Caenorhabditis elegans: one gene and its partners. The protein of the gene in region 3 interacts with the protein of the main gene of each other region in a biochemical or structural test. Each region holds a gene or a part of one and is shown on either strand. Other genes may lie near its edges.

What was found. The genes of interacting proteins can lie anywhere in the genome.
Region 1: the proteins of ung-1 (region 3) and act-5 form a complex in vitro, tested with the Caenorhabditis elegans proteins (one large-scale study listed by BioGRID).
Region 2: the proteins of ung-1 (region 3) and gpd-2 form a complex in vitro, tested with the Caenorhabditis elegans proteins (one large-scale study listed by BioGRID).

The regions. Positions count from the first base shown.
Region 1 is NC_003281.10:13,603,457-13,608,769, forward strand, and holds act-5 (Actin), read right to left. Parts: upstream 2,611-5,313; coding exon 2,110-2,610; intron 1,775-2,109; coding exon 1,308-1,774; intron 1,258-1,307; coding exon 1,098-1,257; 3' UTR 956-1,097; downstream 1-955. Other genes in the region: shpk-1 (Carbohydrate kinase FGGY N-terminal domain-containing protein), read left to right, coding at 4,616-4,689, 5,074-5,176, 5,220-5,313.
Region 2 is NC_003284.9:3,112,488-3,117,422, forward strand, and holds gpd-2 (Glyceraldehyde-3-phosphate dehydrogenase 2), read right to left. Parts: upstream 2,203-4,935; 5' UTR 2,201-2,202; coding exon 1,961-2,200; intron 1,912-1,960; coding exon 1,783-1,911; intron 1,737-1,782; coding exon 1,080-1,736; 3' UTR 956-1,079; downstream 1-955. Other genes in the region: gpd-3 (Glyceraldehyde-3-phosphate dehydrogenase 3), read right to left, coding at 1-369, 417-545, 595-834; mai-1 (ATPase inhibitor mai-1, mitochondrial), read right to left, coding at 2,510-2,566, 2,869-3,078.
Region 3 is NC_003281.10:11,970,234-11,976,872, forward strand, and holds ung-1 (Uracil-DNA glycosylase), read right to left. Parts: upstream 3,858-6,639; 5' UTR 3,857-3,857; coding exon 3,798-3,856; intron 3,753-3,797; coding exon 3,080-3,752; intron 1,507-3,079; coding exon 1,390-1,506; 3' UTR 1,234-1,389; downstream 1-1,233. Other genes in the region: Y56A3A.28 (C2H2-type domain-containing protein), read right to left, coding at 136-276, 1,033-1,125; Y56A3A.30 (SP-RING-type domain-containing protein), read right to left, coding at 3,971-4,026, 5,399-5,884, 6,575-6,639; Y56A3A.31 (SOSS complex subunit A homolog), read left to right, coding at 4,273-4,293. UniProt on the Caenorhabditis elegans protein: Excises uracil residues from the DNA which can arise as a result of misincorporation of dUMP residues by DNA polymerase or due to deamination of cytosine.

The DNA.
Region 1 (5,313 bases), 1.6 Mb from region 3:
TTAATCGAATTCTATAAGAAGAGTTTTCAGTTTAATAATCGGCTCCTAATTTTTTTCGTACTTTTTTCCGATTATTTAAATGTTCACTATTTTTTTTTCTCCGGAGAAAAGCAGGTAACATTGCGTGCAATTTGAAAAATATGTAGTGTGAACGCGCTCAACATTTTAAAATTAATTCATCCTTTTTCCTGCGAGAAATCACTATGTACCTATCGAAAGCTTGTTGCTGGCTGCTACTCGAAAATTTTTGTAATTTCGGAAAAATTTGCATCTGGATATTTAGTGCAATAGAATTTAGAATTGGGCACAATTTATGGATATTTATAATTCCCGCCGATATTGCATGTATCTACTCATTTTTGACTCATTTTTCAGAAAGGTGGTTTCTTGTAGTTAGAGACAACTTTATTTGAAGAATTGCATGCTCTCTATAGCAAAAAGAACCGATTTTCCATAAGAAATCAAAATGGATGTTGCAAACTATCAAAAATGTTTTACAGTAAAACTATAAGACCGTACGATCATTTTTTCTCAAGAGTCATTTTTCAGTTCACTTTTTAAAATTTCTTTTTCCCAGTTATTGCAACAAGATAAAAATTATGGAAGTTGTCAAAAAAGTATCAAGAAAGCTCTGTATCACCGAAAAAAACGGGAACCGGATGGTACCGGAGTTGCCGAACGGCAGATCCGGTTTAGGTTAACTTATTTGTTTGTTTTTTTTTCTTAATTTCTAAGTAAAATCAATTTGGTACTTGTGCATTATTTCCCCTCATTTTAATATTATCCATTTTAATAAAACGTGATGTCCATTTTCCATCTTTAGGCTTAGAAATGATTATTTCCTAAGCCTAAAAAACAAAAACTCCACACGTTTTTATTTAAAATTATATTTTAAAAAATGAGGGGAAATAATACACAAGTACCATCAATTTTACTCAATTCCCAAGTAGCAAGTGGTCCTAACAAGTTTATTCATGTTAAGAAACCATAAATATAAAGAAAATGAAGTATCTCATGGAATTTGTGTCAAGTAAAATCGTGTTTCGCCTAGAAATGGAAGGCACATGTTGAAAAAAAAAATTTGAAAAAAAATCAGCTTAGAAGCACTTTCGGTGAACAATCGATGGGCCGGACTCGTCGTACTCCTGCTTGGAGATCCACATTTGCTGGAAGGTTGAGAGGGAAGCAAGAATAGATCCTCCGATCCAGACGGAGTACTTGCGCTCTGGTGGAGCAATAATCTTGATCTTCATTGTGCTGAAAATACAAGAATTATAATCTCATGTACTGAGAAATGTGAAGCTTACCTTGGAGCCAAATGTTGAATCTCCTTTTGCATACGATCAGCGATTCCTGGGAACATGGAGGTACCTCCGGAGAGAACAGTGTTGGCGTAGAGATCCTTTCTGATGTCGACATCGCACTTCATGATGGATTGGTAGGTGGTCTCGTGGATTCCGGCACCTTCCATTCCGATGAAGGCAGGCTGGAAGAGGACTTCTGGGCAGCGGAATCTCTCGTTTCCGATGGTGATAACCTGTCCGTCGGGAAGCTCGTAGCTCTTCTCGAGGGAGGAGGAGGAGGCGGCGGCGGCGAGCTCGGACTCGAAGTCGTGGGCGACGTAGCAAAGCTTCTCTTTGATGTCCCGGACGATTTCGCGTTCGGCGGTGGTGGTAAAAGTGTAACCGCGCTCGGTGAGGATCTTCATCATGTAGTCGGTCAAGTCGCGTCCGGCAAGATCGAGACGTTGGATGGCATGTGGGAGGGCATATCCCTGGAAGATTAGAAGATAAGATCGGATGTAGGTTCTAGATTTCTTAGATCCCAAAGAATTCTCACAAGAAGATTGTGGATCAGATAAGAAGATCAGAAGCTCAGGCTATGATTTGCAGAGAAATGAGGTGGCCTTGCTCTTACTAAGTTCTTACAGTTCCAAAAACTTAAAACTAAGGATAAGAGCTGCTGAGCTGAACTAAAAGTTTCCGAAAGCGCTGTGAGCCTGTTTCTGGCTGCAAAAATTAGTCGAAGCAGACGTAATCTCCAAAACTTTACACCGCCAAGTCAAAGAAGATTGCTGTCTTCTTATATTCTCTAAACCCATCTACCTACTTCATAGATTGGAACGGTGTGAGTGACACCATCTCCGGTGTCCAAAACGATTCCGGTGGTTCTTCCGGAAGCGTACAAGGAAAGCACAGCCTGAATGTTGACGTACATGGCTGGAGTGTTGAAGGTCTCAAACATGATCTGTGTCATCTTTTCTCTGTTGCTCTTTGGGTTCAATGGAGCCTCGGTAAGGAGAACTGGGTGTTCCTCTGGGGCGATACGAAGCTCGTTGTAGAATGTGTGATGCCAGATTTTCTCCATATCATCCCAGTTGGTGACGATTCCGTGCTCGATTGGGTACTTCAAGGTGAGGATTCCTCTCTTGGATTGTGCTTCATCTCCGACATACGAGTCCTTCTGTCCCATACCGACCATCACTCCCTGATGACGTGGGCGTCCGACGATGGACGGGAAGACGGCGCGTGGAGCATCGTCTCCGGCGAATCCGGCCTTGCACATTCCGGATCCATTGTCGACAACGAGGGCGGCGATTTCTTCTTCCATCTGAAATTAATAAAAGGTTGAAGAAGTCGAGTTTATAGAAAACGTTATTAAGTGATGTACGAGTACTATAAAATGCCGAAAAATGAAAATGTTGCCACATTTCCCCAAAAATGCAAAGTGTGTTATCAGTACCGCAGCCAGCTCACCATCGGGGGGAAAACGAGAAAAAGAGAGAATGGAGAGAATATGCCACATTCTGTATGTATATATGTGTGTGCGTTTGATACTGATAACTCCCTCTCTCACTTCGTTCTAAGAATTGCAGGTACGTGGTGGTTATATGTACACACTCACACACACACACACACACAAATTATCACGTCACACAGACAAAGTCATAGTTTGGTGAGCATGATGTAAGCAGCCTGTCAGAATTTGTGCTCAATTCTAGAACATGAAATTGTCAATTGACATGATATGCACTGGGAGGCTGTTAGCTATGGCCGATTTTATAAAATTGCTCAAATCAGTATAACAAATATGGAATAAACCTACGAAATTTTTGAAAATGCAGGCCAACAGGCTTACATCCGGGCTCCCCGAACTTTCCAGTAGCTCAAGCCGGCTGGTCCACTAACAAAGCATTTCAAAAAAATGTTATACATTGTCAGTTGACAACTTTACATGACCTCCTAAGATAAAAAACCCCCAAGAGATAAAAATCAACTACCGCCAGTCACTGGAGCGCTAGGAATGTAAAACTAGAAAAAATAAAGTGATAACATTCCAATTGACTCCAACTTTTAAATACTCCCTAAAATTGAAGTTTCCGCCTACCATTCCTCTTAAAGAAGCCATACTGGGAAAATGAGTCACTGATAAGTAATGAGTCAATGCTAGTTAGAAATACAATAGAAATTTAGGATCATAAACTATATTTTTTTAATGTTAGGGTGCAGCTAATCTTGAAAGTGCCGAAGATTCAAAGTTTCATTACATTACCCTTTCCGTATAATCCCAAAATACCCGTAAAAGTTACTACTACCCTATTCTGCTTATCACTGATAACAAAGAGGAAAGATGAGAAATCGGTCGAAGTGTGGAAGAAATTAATAGTTTAATTATTATTTTGAAAAAAGCAATTAGAAATGGAATAATTGAGATATCGACAATCTGAAAAACGTGAAAATAGCAGCCGGCAGCTTCCTGGGAATGTATGTAACATGGCAACAAAAAGGAAAAGAAAAAAGTTGTAAACTAAATAACAAAATTTATGTAGATTCATGTGTTGGATAGTATATTTTAACTTTTCGGCTGTAGAGGCTTATAGGTGGTTAAACTATATGTTTGTGCATTTACTATAAATCTTCTAACTACATTATAACATCATTACATGATAATCTAAATTACTGAAAAATCTTCATTACCAAGAAATAACTGTCAGTTGAACAAAAAAAAGATAATCTAAAAACTGTTTTGGCAATATTCTAATATGTATCACTTGTCGGACGAGGTATCGGAGTTCAATGTTTTGTTCCAGGTAGCACTATTCAAACTACAGTAACTCTACACTAGTTAAAAATAACAAAAGTTGTCAACTGGTAACACTTTTCATTTCTTAAACGTTTTTAGTTTTCAAAGAAAAGTTACATTTTTGTGCCCCACTGACCGAAAATGTACTTGCATCAACGAATTGTTTTTGTGAAATTTTCAAAACTTCTCATTACGAAATTTGGTAGTTTTGGGTCACTTCGGATCTAAAAAAAGCAAAGTCTCAGATTTCGGTACTCCATCTTTAAATCTTATAATCATACTTGCTTTATGTTTGCAATAGATTTATAATGTTTTTCCAATTTCTTTCCTCAATTATGCAAATCCATAAACTCCCGCCTCTGCACACCTCCAAAACGCTCCAAAACAGTCTCCCCCACTCTTCTATTTTTCTGTTTCTCTTGCACCCTCTCACTCTCTATTTATGCCCGTTCTTATCATTTTCAAGCTTCTTCTCATTCCAGGAAACCTCACCCCCGATTCCTCTTAAAATTGGAAACTCTTATCATCATTGATGACGGAGCAAGTTCATGTTGGCATTGATATTGGCACAACTTCGGCTAAAATTTGTGCAAGGAATGGGGAAAAGTGAGAAAATTCAATATAATCACAAAATTAATAAAAATAAAATTGCCTGCACATTATCAGTTGGCAAGTTTTGAAAAACAAAATTAAAATACAAAAGTGATTAATTGTTTTATTCCTTTGATTGGATCAAAACTATCTCAAAAAACCTATTACCAAAATGTGAAATGTAAATTTTTTCTGAATAGAATAATTGTACAACACTGGCAAAATCTGAAAAGTCATCAAAAAAAGTTTCAAGTCAAATAAATAGGTAATTATTTTGAATACGTTCTTTGGAATATTTCAATTTTTCAAAAACCATCAAACCATAGTGCCATCAAAAACTGAGTGTGTAAATTTTAGTACGCTGATTTTGTAAATAGATAAAACACTTTATATTTTTAGCGTAATCCTAGAATTCAAAAAAATCTACGAAGGTGACAATTCTGATGCAGCTGGACTTCAAAATCCGAAGATTATAATTCAAACTGTTTTGGATTTGTTGGAAGTTTGTAACCGCCTAAAAAACTGGACAAATTTTTTTTTTGCAGAGAACAAAATCTAATTTAGAATCGCGAAATCTGAAAATATCCAATATATGGACGTGTGGACAAATGCATGGAATTGTCATGTGGAAGCAACGAC
Region 2 (4,935 bases), on a different chromosome or scaffold from region 3:
GACATCTGGGGTTGGGACACGGAAAGCCATTCCGGTGAGCTTTCCATTGAGCTCTGGGATAACCTTGCCGACAGCCTTAGCGGCTCCAGTAGAGGCTGGGATGATGTTTTGTCCAGCTCCACGTCCGTCTCTCCAGAGCTTTCCTGATGGTCCGTCAACAGTCTTTTGGGTGGCGGTGACGGCGTGGACAGTGGTCATAAGTCCCTCAATAATTCCGAAGTTGTCATTGATGACCTTGGCAAGTGGAGCAAGGCAGTTAGTGGTGCAGGAAGCATTGGAGATGATGTGGTCGTTGGCATGATCGTACTTCTCGTGGTTGACTCCGACGACGAACATTGGAGCATCAGCAGATGGAGCAGAGATGATGACCTGAAATTTAAATATATTTATCTTGAAAAATTAAATCACTAATTTACCTTCTTGGCTCCTCCCTTCAAGTGAGCATTGGCCTTCTCGATGGTGGTGAAGACTCCGGTGGACTCAACGACATAGTCGGCTCCAGAGGCTCCCCATTGGATCTCAGCTGGGTCTCTTGAGTTGTAGACCTGAAATTGAATAGAATATTAGGTGAAATCTAATTGGAAATAATTCTACCTTGATCTTGTGCTGGGACTTTCCTTCCTTGGCGACAAGAAGGTAGTCTCCCTCGTGGGCAACGGTTCCCTTGAAGCGTCCGTGAGTGGAATCGTACTGGAACAAGTAGACCATGTAGTCGATGGAGATGAATGGATCGTTGACGGCAACAACATTGACACTGTCCTTCTCGACAGCGGCGCGGAGGACAAGACGTCCGATTCTTCCGAATCCGTTGATTCCGACACTTGGCTTGGTCATGATGCGTTGAAGCAGTTTCCCTGAATTAAAATTAGAAGTTGAAAATACAATAGAAAGAAAATTGGAAGGTATATAAACTCGCAAAAACGAGGAAATGGCAGATTCAATAAGATGAATAAATATACAACCTTTATTGAGAAGAGACCATTTATATACTTGTAAGCTTCTAGGAAAATTTTAGATACTAAAGAGAAGCATAGATTTTAAGACAAGCAGTTAACTAGGTGAAAGTAGGATGAGACAGCTTAGGCCTTGGTGGCGATGTACGAGATGAGATCAACAACTCTGTTGGAGTATCCGAACTCGTTATCGTACCACGAGACGAGCTTGACGAAGTGTGGGTTGAGTGAGATGGATGCTCCGGCATCGAAGATGGAAGAGTTGGTATCGGAGACAAAGTCGGTGGAGACAACTTGATCCTCAGTGTAAGCGAGAATTCCCTTCATTGGTCCGTCAGCGGCAGCCTTGATAACTTTCTTGATGTCATCGAGGGAAGCTGGCTTCTCAAGACGAGCAGTGAGATCAACAACAGACACATCTGGGGTTGGGACACGGAAAGCCATTCCGGTGAGCTTTCCATTGAGCTCTGGGATAACCTTTCCAACAGCCTTAGCGGCTCCAGTAGAGGCTGGGATGATGTTCTGTCCAGCTCCACGTCCGTCTCTCCAGAGCTTTCCTGATGGTCCGTCAACAGTCTTTTGGGTGGCGGTGACGGCGTGGACAGTGGTCATAAGTCCCTCAATAATTCCGAAGTTGTCATTGATGACCTTGGCAAGTGGAGCAAGGCAGTTAGTGGTGCAGGAAGCATTGGAGATGATGTGGTCGTTGGCATGATCGTACTTCTCGTGGTTGACTCCGACGACGAACATTGGAGCATCAGCAGATGGAGCAGAGATGATGACCTAAAAATTTAAATATATTTATGCACAAAAGTTGATTACAAGTTACCTTCTTGGCTCCTCCCTTCAAGTGAGCGTTGGCCTTCTCGATGGTGGTGAAGACTCCGGTGGACTCAACGACATAGTCGGCTCCAGAGGCTCCCCATTGGATTTCAGCTGGGTCTCTTGAGTTGTAGACCTGAAATTTAAGAGAATGTTTAACAAAATATGTTTGGAAAATATTCTACCTTGATCTTGTGCTGCGACTTCCCTTCCTTGGCGACAAGAAGGTAGTCTCCCTCGTGAGCAACGGTTCCCTTGAAGCGTCCGTGGGTGGAGTCGTACTGGAACAAGTAGACCATGTAGTCGATGGAGATGAATGGATCGTTGACGGCAACAACGTTGACACTGTCCTTCTCGACAGCGGCGCGGAGGACAAGACGTCCGATTCTTCCGAATCCGTTGATTCCGACACTTGGCTTTGGCATGGCTGAAAATTGATACTACTACAATCAGTTCAACTAACATACAAACGACAAATAAAAATAGAATGATCGAAATGAAAATCGAATCAAATTGAAGAGAGAAGAATATGAAGTGAAGCCATAAAAACCATGTTTACTATTTGACGAAACATGTGCAGTAAGCGAAAAAAAAATGATGCAATAGGCAAGATGAAGAAATGCGGTGTGAGAGAGAAAATAGAGAGGAGAGAATAAGTATGCATAAAAAGAAAGGGAAAATTGAAAATGATGATGCAAAAAGAACAGAGAGCCGTTTGAAAAGCCCTCTATTTTTTATGTTCCGTGTCCTTTCTCGATTTCCTTCAGTCGTTGCTGATGTTGTTCGAGAACCTGAAATGAAAGTATTGAAGAACGTTGAAAGGTAGTGGAAAACAAAAAAAAAGAGATTGTTTGTGAAAACCAATCTATCTCTTCATTATGCTCGCTAGTCGCCCGTCTCTCTAACATATCAAGGTCAACTGTGTAAAATAGAGAGATTCGAAAGGAGTCCCCGGTCTATTTTGAATCAGTTCTAGAACACGCCACTTTCGCAGATAAGAGTTTCGGCAGTGTCATGTGACACATCAAAGAATAACGAGTTAATCAACAACAATATTTTCCTGCGTGTTTTCCTTAAATGGAGTGTCTCGTACCTTTTCATGATCCCGAATTTCCTGTTGGCTTTGCGTCATATCTGCTTCAAGCTTCTTCTTGAGATTGTCCAACTGATCTTTTTGTTGTCTTCGGAAGTATTCTTCTTCTCTGGTGGCGCCCATCATGCCGAGTGATCCACCTGCTTCACGGATTGAGCCGCCGGAGCCTCCACCATGTCCAGCACCACTTCCACTTCCAGATCCTGACATCTGTTTTGATTTCCTGGAAATGAACTAACTGGATTATATGAGCATGGCTCCAAAAGTAAAGAGAAGCGAAAGAAGAAAGCTGTCAAGAAGACGTCGAAGGGAGCATGCCTTTTTTATTTCTGAGAAGAAAAAGAAGAAAAGCAGCTAACACACACACACAAGTTTGTAGCACGTAAAGTAATCTTGAGTGAGAGCGAAGGGCGAAGGTGATGCAAACAGGCCCTCCCAAAACAAATTTCACAATGCGAGTGGCGTTTCGATGGCCGGAGACCGAGGACACTGGGCCGCCCATTTCCAAACGGCAATCGATTTTGTTTTTTTTACACACACATCAATATACACGCACAAACATTAACTCACAAACACACACACACACCGCACTCTCGTGAACTGAACGCACAAAACGTGTGTGTGTGTCAGTAAACTCTGATCTAGTAGAAAATAGTGCGTGTGTTGCAGAGGATTTAGAGAAAGGGTCGAGAAGAGAGTTTCGAGCCGCCCGTGAATTGATATCATAAACAATTGAAGACTTTGAAACATTTACAACATTTGACCTTCGAGAAAAAGAAGAACGAAATAAAATATTTACTAACCTCAAAAGTCTTTGTGAGCAAGAGCAACATTGGTTTCCGGTGAGCTCCTTGAAGTCAAACTCTGTTGTGTTGTTTCCTTAGAAGGCAGGGCAGGGTCGCTGTTTTTTTAGGGGAGCCGCCGTGGCGAGGCGAACATAGAGAGTGAAGGGAGCGAGGCGGGTAGCCTCAACTGATGCATAGAGAGAAAATGGGCCAACTGCGAGTGCGACGACGGCCTAGCCAGCCGGCACGAATCGATGGAGATGCCGACGTCGCCGACACACGATTGCTGGCCGTTGGCACGTAGGCAACGGCAGTGTAGTAACAGGAAAAGAAGAGATTTGAGGAGTTGCTCTTCTTTTCGCTTGGAGCAACTCTTTTCCAACCCGAAAGTTTTCAATGATAAAATATAGAACAACACGAAGATGAAAAGGCGCAGTCGCTAGTCAATCGTTCTGAAGATCAAACTAGTGGCCGGAGTAAATGGGAGGAGTTGGAAAATAATCAACGAGAAAAGTGTTTTTCATTGACATCAAAGAATGTTTTATATCAGTTATCACTGATCACTAGTCACTAGTTTTTTCAATTTCTGAAAGAAAATCTAATTTACTAATAGACACACGATGAATCAGAATTTATTCAAATGTATCTGATCAGTTGAATACGTGAGATCTTTTATAAAAGCTAATATCAACCAAAAGTTCAAAATCACTTCGAGATCAAAACTCTAATGGCATATGTTTGAATGCACGAAGTCAATAATTCTAACAGGCGAGAGTGCTATAGTTTTCTCAAAAAGTGGCAAAAACTCAGGAATTTCCACTTTTTGACTGTCAATAACAATTTTTCAAAATTTAATGTATCATAAACGTGTAATGTAATAACTTACCAAAACATGCCTAAACAGTGTGTCATCTTTACCTCAAGTTTAACCAAATTATTATATTTCCAACACTATATTTTAAATAATAGTTCCTATGACAAAGTTTGTGACGTTCATTGAGAAAAAGTTGCATAATTCAGGTTTTTTAAAAAACCCACTATCTTCTATCATATTACGAAAAATCAACAAATCAAAAGTTCAAACTTGGCAAATTCGTTGAAAATTTTCCGGTTTTCTCGTTTCACTAAAAATTGATGTTTCAATGACATCAAACAAAAACAACTACCTAGGAAAGCGAACTGCCCACAAAAAACAAAAAATAAGTTTTTTATCAGTATTCGATACAATCTGATAACATCCTTTATCGTGTTACCAGAATGTTCTCTGTACCTATTGATTAGT
Region 3 (6,639 bases):
TTCGAGTTTAGGCCTGATTTTGCTCCAAAAAATCTGAAATAGGCTCAAATTTATTATGTTTCTAGGCATTTTTTTTGTGAAAAATCGCGTTTTTTCGTGATTTTTTCCTGGTTTTTCTAGATTTTTCGTACTAACAAGAGCTTCTTCTGATGGTTGATCATCCCATTCTTCCTCATTTTCAGCGATATCTTCGTCGGCTCCACGGGATACGCTTAGAGCAACTTCTCGTTCAAAAGCTTCCATAAGACAATCTTCGGTGTGCCAATAGAACTCGCGCTGAAAAATGAAATTTTTTGAATTAAAATTGAAATATTCGTTTAAAAAAAAAAAATTTCTGATTTTTTAAATTATTTTGTGAGAAAAATCGGAATTTTTTCGATTCTTTTAATATATTTTTAGAGAAAAATCGGAAATGTTTCAATTTTTTAAATTTTTTAAAAGAAAAATCGAATTTTTTTTTCGATTTTTAATTTTTGTATTAAATTAAAATAGGAATCTTTTTCGATTTTTAATAATTTTTTTAGAGAAAAGTCGGATTTTTTTAATTTGTAATTTTTTTTTTGAGAAAATCAGAATTTTTCCGCTTTTTTATATATATATTTATATTTTTAAAGAAAAATTGGAATTTTTTTTTCGATTTTTTTTTGAGAAAATTGCAATTTTTTCGATTTTTTAAAGAGAAAAATCGGAATTTTTCGATTTTTAATATAAATTTAAAAAAAAAACGGATTTTTTAATGTATTTTTAGAGAAAAATCTGATTTTTTAATGTATTTTTAGAGAAAAATCTGATTTTTTGATATTTTTACTGAAAAATCGGAATAATTTCAATTTTTAATATATTTTTAGAGAAAAATCGGAATTTTCTCGTTTTTTATAAGAAAAATTAGCATTTTTCAATGTTTTTAAATTTTTTTAAAGAAGAAATTGGAATTTTTTCGGTTTTTTAATATATTTTTTGGGAAAAATCGGTTTTTTTTTTTCAATTTTTAATATATTTTCTGCGATTTAATTAGAATATTATCTTCTCTACCTTATTCCGGAAATATTTTCTACATTCAAGGCATAAAAAATGCCGAGAAATTGAAGTCCAGCTCCGTTCCTCTTCGGTTTTTTGTCGCCGCATTCTTTTTTTCTGTTAAAAAAACAATTTTTCGCTGCAATTTCCGTGAAAAGCATTTAAAAATCGTTGAAACGAATGAAAAATTGGAAATTGAACAAAAAAATGGCCAGAAAATCGAATTTTTATGATGAAAAACCGAAAAAATGAGGAAAAAATGAGGAAAAATGAAGAGAAAATAGAAAAATCGATAAATAACAGAGTTCTTCAGTGAGTGGCGAGAGAGTGTGTGAGATGAAGAGACGCAGGGTGTTCGACAGGAGAATTTATTCATAAATCCGCCCAATTAATCGGGTTTCGACCGGAATTTTCGAGCTCCGTGTTGCATTTCGAGAAGCATTTGCATCCCCACCACTTGCGAGCACTCAGCGGAGACGGATGGGCGGTCTGGAAATTTTTTAAAATTTTTTAAAAAATTAAATTTGAGTTTAGTGGAAATATTTTTAAAATACGCTAAAAAATAGGTTTTTTTTTTCACAAAAATCAAAAATTTTGCGATTTTCCACGTCTGAAACCAATCAATTTTTCCCTTTGAAATTAATTTAAATTTTGGTGGAAAATGTCAAAAATTGCCAGAAAAACTTTAAAAAATTCAAGAATTTCCCACAAAATTGTAGTAAAATTGTCAATTTTCAGTTAAAAACCAAAAAAAAAAACAAGATTCTCCAGGTTTTGCTCCAAATTTGCTCCTTGTTTAAAATATCTATGTGAAAAATTGGAAAAAAAAGTCCCTTTTATTGTAGAAAATCGACGATTTTCAAACGCGCGCCAGACATTGAAGCGCGCTGTGTCTTGTGCCGATTTACGAGCCAGCTTTCAGCTTTTTATTCATTTTTATCGGTTTTTTTCGTTGAAAATTGTGTATTTTCGAGCCAATTGAACATTTTATGATCAGAAAACCGCGAAAATTTCCTATTTTTAGATGAAAAAGGAGGTAAATTCAGAGAAAATCGGAATTTTTTGAGTTTTTAAAGAGAAAATTGGAGTTTTTAAATAGAAATTTTCTCGAATTTTTTTTTCGATTAAAAAACAATTTCTGTTTTTCGATTTTTCTCTGAAAAAATAGAAAAAAAAAATTTTAATTTTCTCTTTTAAAAAATCGAAAAAATTCTAATTTTCTCCTTAAAAATTTCAAAAAAATTCCGATTTTCTCTTTTAAAAAATGGAAAAAATTCCGATTTTCTCTGGAAAACTATATGAAAAAATGGAAAAAATTCCGATTTTCTTTGAAAAAATCGAAAATATTCCGATTTTCTCTAAAAAATCAAAAAAAAAATCGAAAAAATTCCGATTTTCTTTGAAAAAAATTAAAAAAAACGAAAAAATTCCGATTTTCTCTGGAAAGAAATAGAAAAATTCCGGTTTTCTATTTAAAAAAAAAAAGAAGAAAAATTCCGATTTTCTTTGAAAAAATCGAAAAAATTCGGTTTTTTTTCTCTGAATTTAAATCATTTTCCATCTAAAAATAAGGAAATTTTGCGAGTTTTATAATAATAAAATGTTCAAAAAACCGAAAAAAAAAATGAAGAAACAGCAAAAAATTGGCTTTAAAAAAACAAATCTCGTAAATCGACACAACACGGTGCGTTCCAATGAGAATCGTCTCTGGCTCTCTGGCGCGCGTTTGAAAATCGTCGATTTTCTACAATAAAAGGGACGTTTTTTTCCAATTTTTCACATAGATATTCGGAATCAGGGGAAAATTTAGAGCAAACCCCTGAATTTTTTTTAGTTTTTAACTGAAAAGTGACAATTTTACTACCATTTTATGGGAAAATCTTGAATTTTTTTCTAGGTTTTCTGGCAATTTTTACCTAAATTTCCAGCAAAATCGCAAAATTTCCGATTTTACAGGTGAAAATCGGCAATTTTTGTCGTTTTCCAACACATTTTTAGGGAAAAAATCTTAAAATCAACTTTTCCATGCTTTTTCCAGAATTCTATCCAGAAAAATAATGACCTTTATAACTACATGTTTCTTTGTATCAATCAGTTCTTCCTTCTTATGAGCAAATCCTCCCCATAACAAAAAGACAATAGGCTTCTCCGATTGTCGCGAAATAATCCGAATAACAGTGTCCGTGAAAGTTTGCCAGCCGATCTTCGCGTGAGAATTCGCCTCGTGAGCCCGAACCGTCAACGTGGCATTCAACATGAACACTCCCTGACGTGTCCAGCCGAGCAGGTTCCCGTGATCGGGCCGCTTGAAGCCTTCAATATCGGATTCAAGCTCTTTATAGATATTTTTCAGCGATGGCGGCGGTTTTACACCCTTCTGAACACTGAAGGAGAGCCCGTGAGCTTGATTATCATCGTGATAGGGGTCTTGACCGATGATAACCACGCTGATCTCGTCGAATGGCAGAAGATTGAATGTTGTGAAAATTTGTGTGGGCGGTGGGAACACTTGCTTGCCCTTGTTCACTTCGGAATTCAAGAATTTCTCGATTTTCGAAATATAGCCTTTTTTGAATTCCTCCTCTAAAAGTTTCGACCAAGATTCACCGGTTAGCAGGGATTTTAGCAGAATTTCAGTTGGTTCTGGTGCTTGTAACTTCATTTTCTTGACTTCTTGATTTTCATTGCCCGCGGGAACTTTTTCCGGAATATTTTCAGTATTTGAAGCGGATTTTCTGAAATTTCGGTGGTTTTTTTTGAATTTTCAGAGCGGGAAATACCGTTTAGAGGCAGCGGATGCTTTGAGGAACATGTCCGGAATTCTTACAGTCTTCGACATTCTGAAATAAACGGAAATCTAGAAGAAAAAAAAAGAATTTTTATTCAAAAAACACGAGTGGAAATGAGATAAAATAAACCTGAGGGCATAGATAAGGATATTTGAAAAATTAAATCACAAAAATGGGAAATTATTCGAGTTATTTGCAGGCAAACCGGTGAATTCGTAACCTGAAAATGAAGAAAATCGATAAAAATCATTTAATTTCGCATTGACTACGGTAGGTAATTGTGTGCACTTTTGCGTGGCGGTGTATGCACAGAATTGATTTTTAAAAAAAATTAATTTTTTTTTAAATTTTAAAATTAATTTATTGAATTTTTCGACGATTTTCTTGAACTTTTCTCACACATTTTTGTGCAAAAACTCTTATTTTCAAACTTTCAGACTCAAAACGCACTGGAAAATCATTAGAAATGGCACCGAAGAAGAAAATGGTAATTTTTATGGCGAAAATTACTTGAAACAGACAAAAAAATCCGAATTATCGAAAAAAAGGACTCTCCCGCCGAAATGTCTCGTTTGAATGGGGTGGCGGCAGCTAGGCCGTGGTTGCACGCGGTCACGTCCAGATGGTCGATAATATTGGCGTTATTGGAGGAGTACGGGGGTTTTTAATGTATAATAATAAGAATAATAATTCAAAAAAAGTGCACTTTCGGACGCTGCAGCACGGAAAAGTGGCCAAAATTAGAGATTTTAGTTAAAATTAGCGCTTTTTTTTTCGAAATTTTGATTTTTTTTTTCACAATTTTCACAATTCCTTTAAAGGTGGGGTAGCGCTAGTGGGGAAATTGCTTTAAAACATGCCTATGGTACCACAATGACCGAATTTCATGATAAAAAATTCAAAAAAAAATTTATAAATTTTATATGATTTTTTGAAAATTGAAAAAATCACAGTTTTCCCCTAATTCCTATTTGAATTACCGCCAATTGAATTTGTTCGATGGGGCGCGCTTGCACGTTTTTAAATTTATTTATTTTATTTTTTGTTATTTTCCACCGATTTTTAATGTTTTCGGTGTATTTTTGCTCGAATTTTAGAGAAAAAATCAACATAAATGCAAATTTTCGATTAAAAAGCACGCTTACAGGCGTAAAAATGAAAAAGTAACGCTTTTAAACGATTTCGAACCTGAATTAATTAATTTCACTGATTTACGCCTGTAAGCGCACTTTTTAATCGAAAATTTGCATTTATTTTGACTTTTTCTCTAAAATTCGAGCAAAAATACACCGAAAACATTAAAAATCGGTGGAAAATAACAAAAAATAAAATAAATAAATTTAAAAACGTGCAAGCGCGCCCCATCGAACAAATTCAATTGGCGGTAATTCAAATAGGAATTAGGGGAAAACTGTGATTTTTCCAATTTTCAAAAAATCATATAAAATTTAGAAAAAATTTTTGAATTTTTTAATCATGATATTCGGTCATTGTGGTACCATAGGCGTATTTTAAAGCAATTTCCCCACAAAGCGTAGTCCACCTTTAAAATTTTTTGGCACATTTTTCTCAATTCCTTTTAAAAAATGTACCTTGATTCTGAAATCCAGGCTGCTGAGAAACCGTGTCAAACCCTCTGCCAACAAGATTATCCATGTATCCAGTGGTTCCACCGCCGTACCCATATCCATTGCCGAATCCATTGTTGTAGGTCCAACTACCAGGCTGATTTTGAAACTGGAACTGCTGGAAATTGTTGTTGGCTGCGAAGCTTTCTGTCGGAGGATTCGGCGTTGTTTCAAAAACGATATTCGGCTTCGGCTCAGGCTTCTTCCTCGGCGGCCTTTTTCTCTTCGGCTTCGGGATCGTCGCTGTTCCGTCAGCTACTACAGTTTCCACGTCATCTGCTTTCTTCCGTCTTGGCGTGGCTTTTTTCTTCGGTTGGGCTTGAATCGGCGGGCTATGAGCCTCATCAGTCGGCTTTACAGTGCTATAAATGTCCCGTGACAATTGAAACTCTGTTGGCTCTGGCACACTCGTTGTAGTGGCTTCTTCCAGAGGTTCAGCTACGGAAGAGGCTGCAATTAATCAATTTGTGAAGCAGGCGTGGGCGGCAAATTGGGCATTTTGCCGATTTGCCGGAAATTTTTAAATTCCGGCAATTTTCCACTTTGCCGGAAATCTTCTTTATCGGCAAAATTCAGGCAAATAAAAAAAGCGAATAAATTCACACTTGTCAAAGCGTAGTGCAAAACAGGGGTGGGCGACAATTTCCGGTCTGCAAATGTTTTATTCCTCCAATTTGCTGAGTTGCCAGAAATTTACGACTCCGGCAAACTTGCCGATTCGCCGGAAATTTTCAATTTCCCACTATTTTCCGATTCGCAGAAAATTTTCAATTCCGGCAATTTGCCGATTCGCCGGAAATTTTCAATTCCGGAAATGTGCCGATTTGCCGGAAATTTTTAATTCCGGAAATTTTGATTTTCGGCAGATTGGCGATTTGCCGGAAATTTCGATTTTCGGAAATTCGCCGATTTGCCGGAAATTTTCAATTCCGGCAATTTGCTGAGTTGCCGGCAATTCTGATTTTCGGCAGATTGGCGATTTGCCGGAAATTTTGATTTTCGGCAGATTGCCAATTTACCGTGAATTTTCAATTCTTACTATTCTCCGATTTGCCGGAAATTTTCAATTCCCACAATTTGCCGATTTGCCGGATTTTCCGCCCACCCCTGATGTAAAATATTCAATATCTCTGAACTCACCGCTCGCAACCGCTTGATCTTCATCTCTCTGTGATTCTACAGTTGAACTGGACTCTGGCTCTACA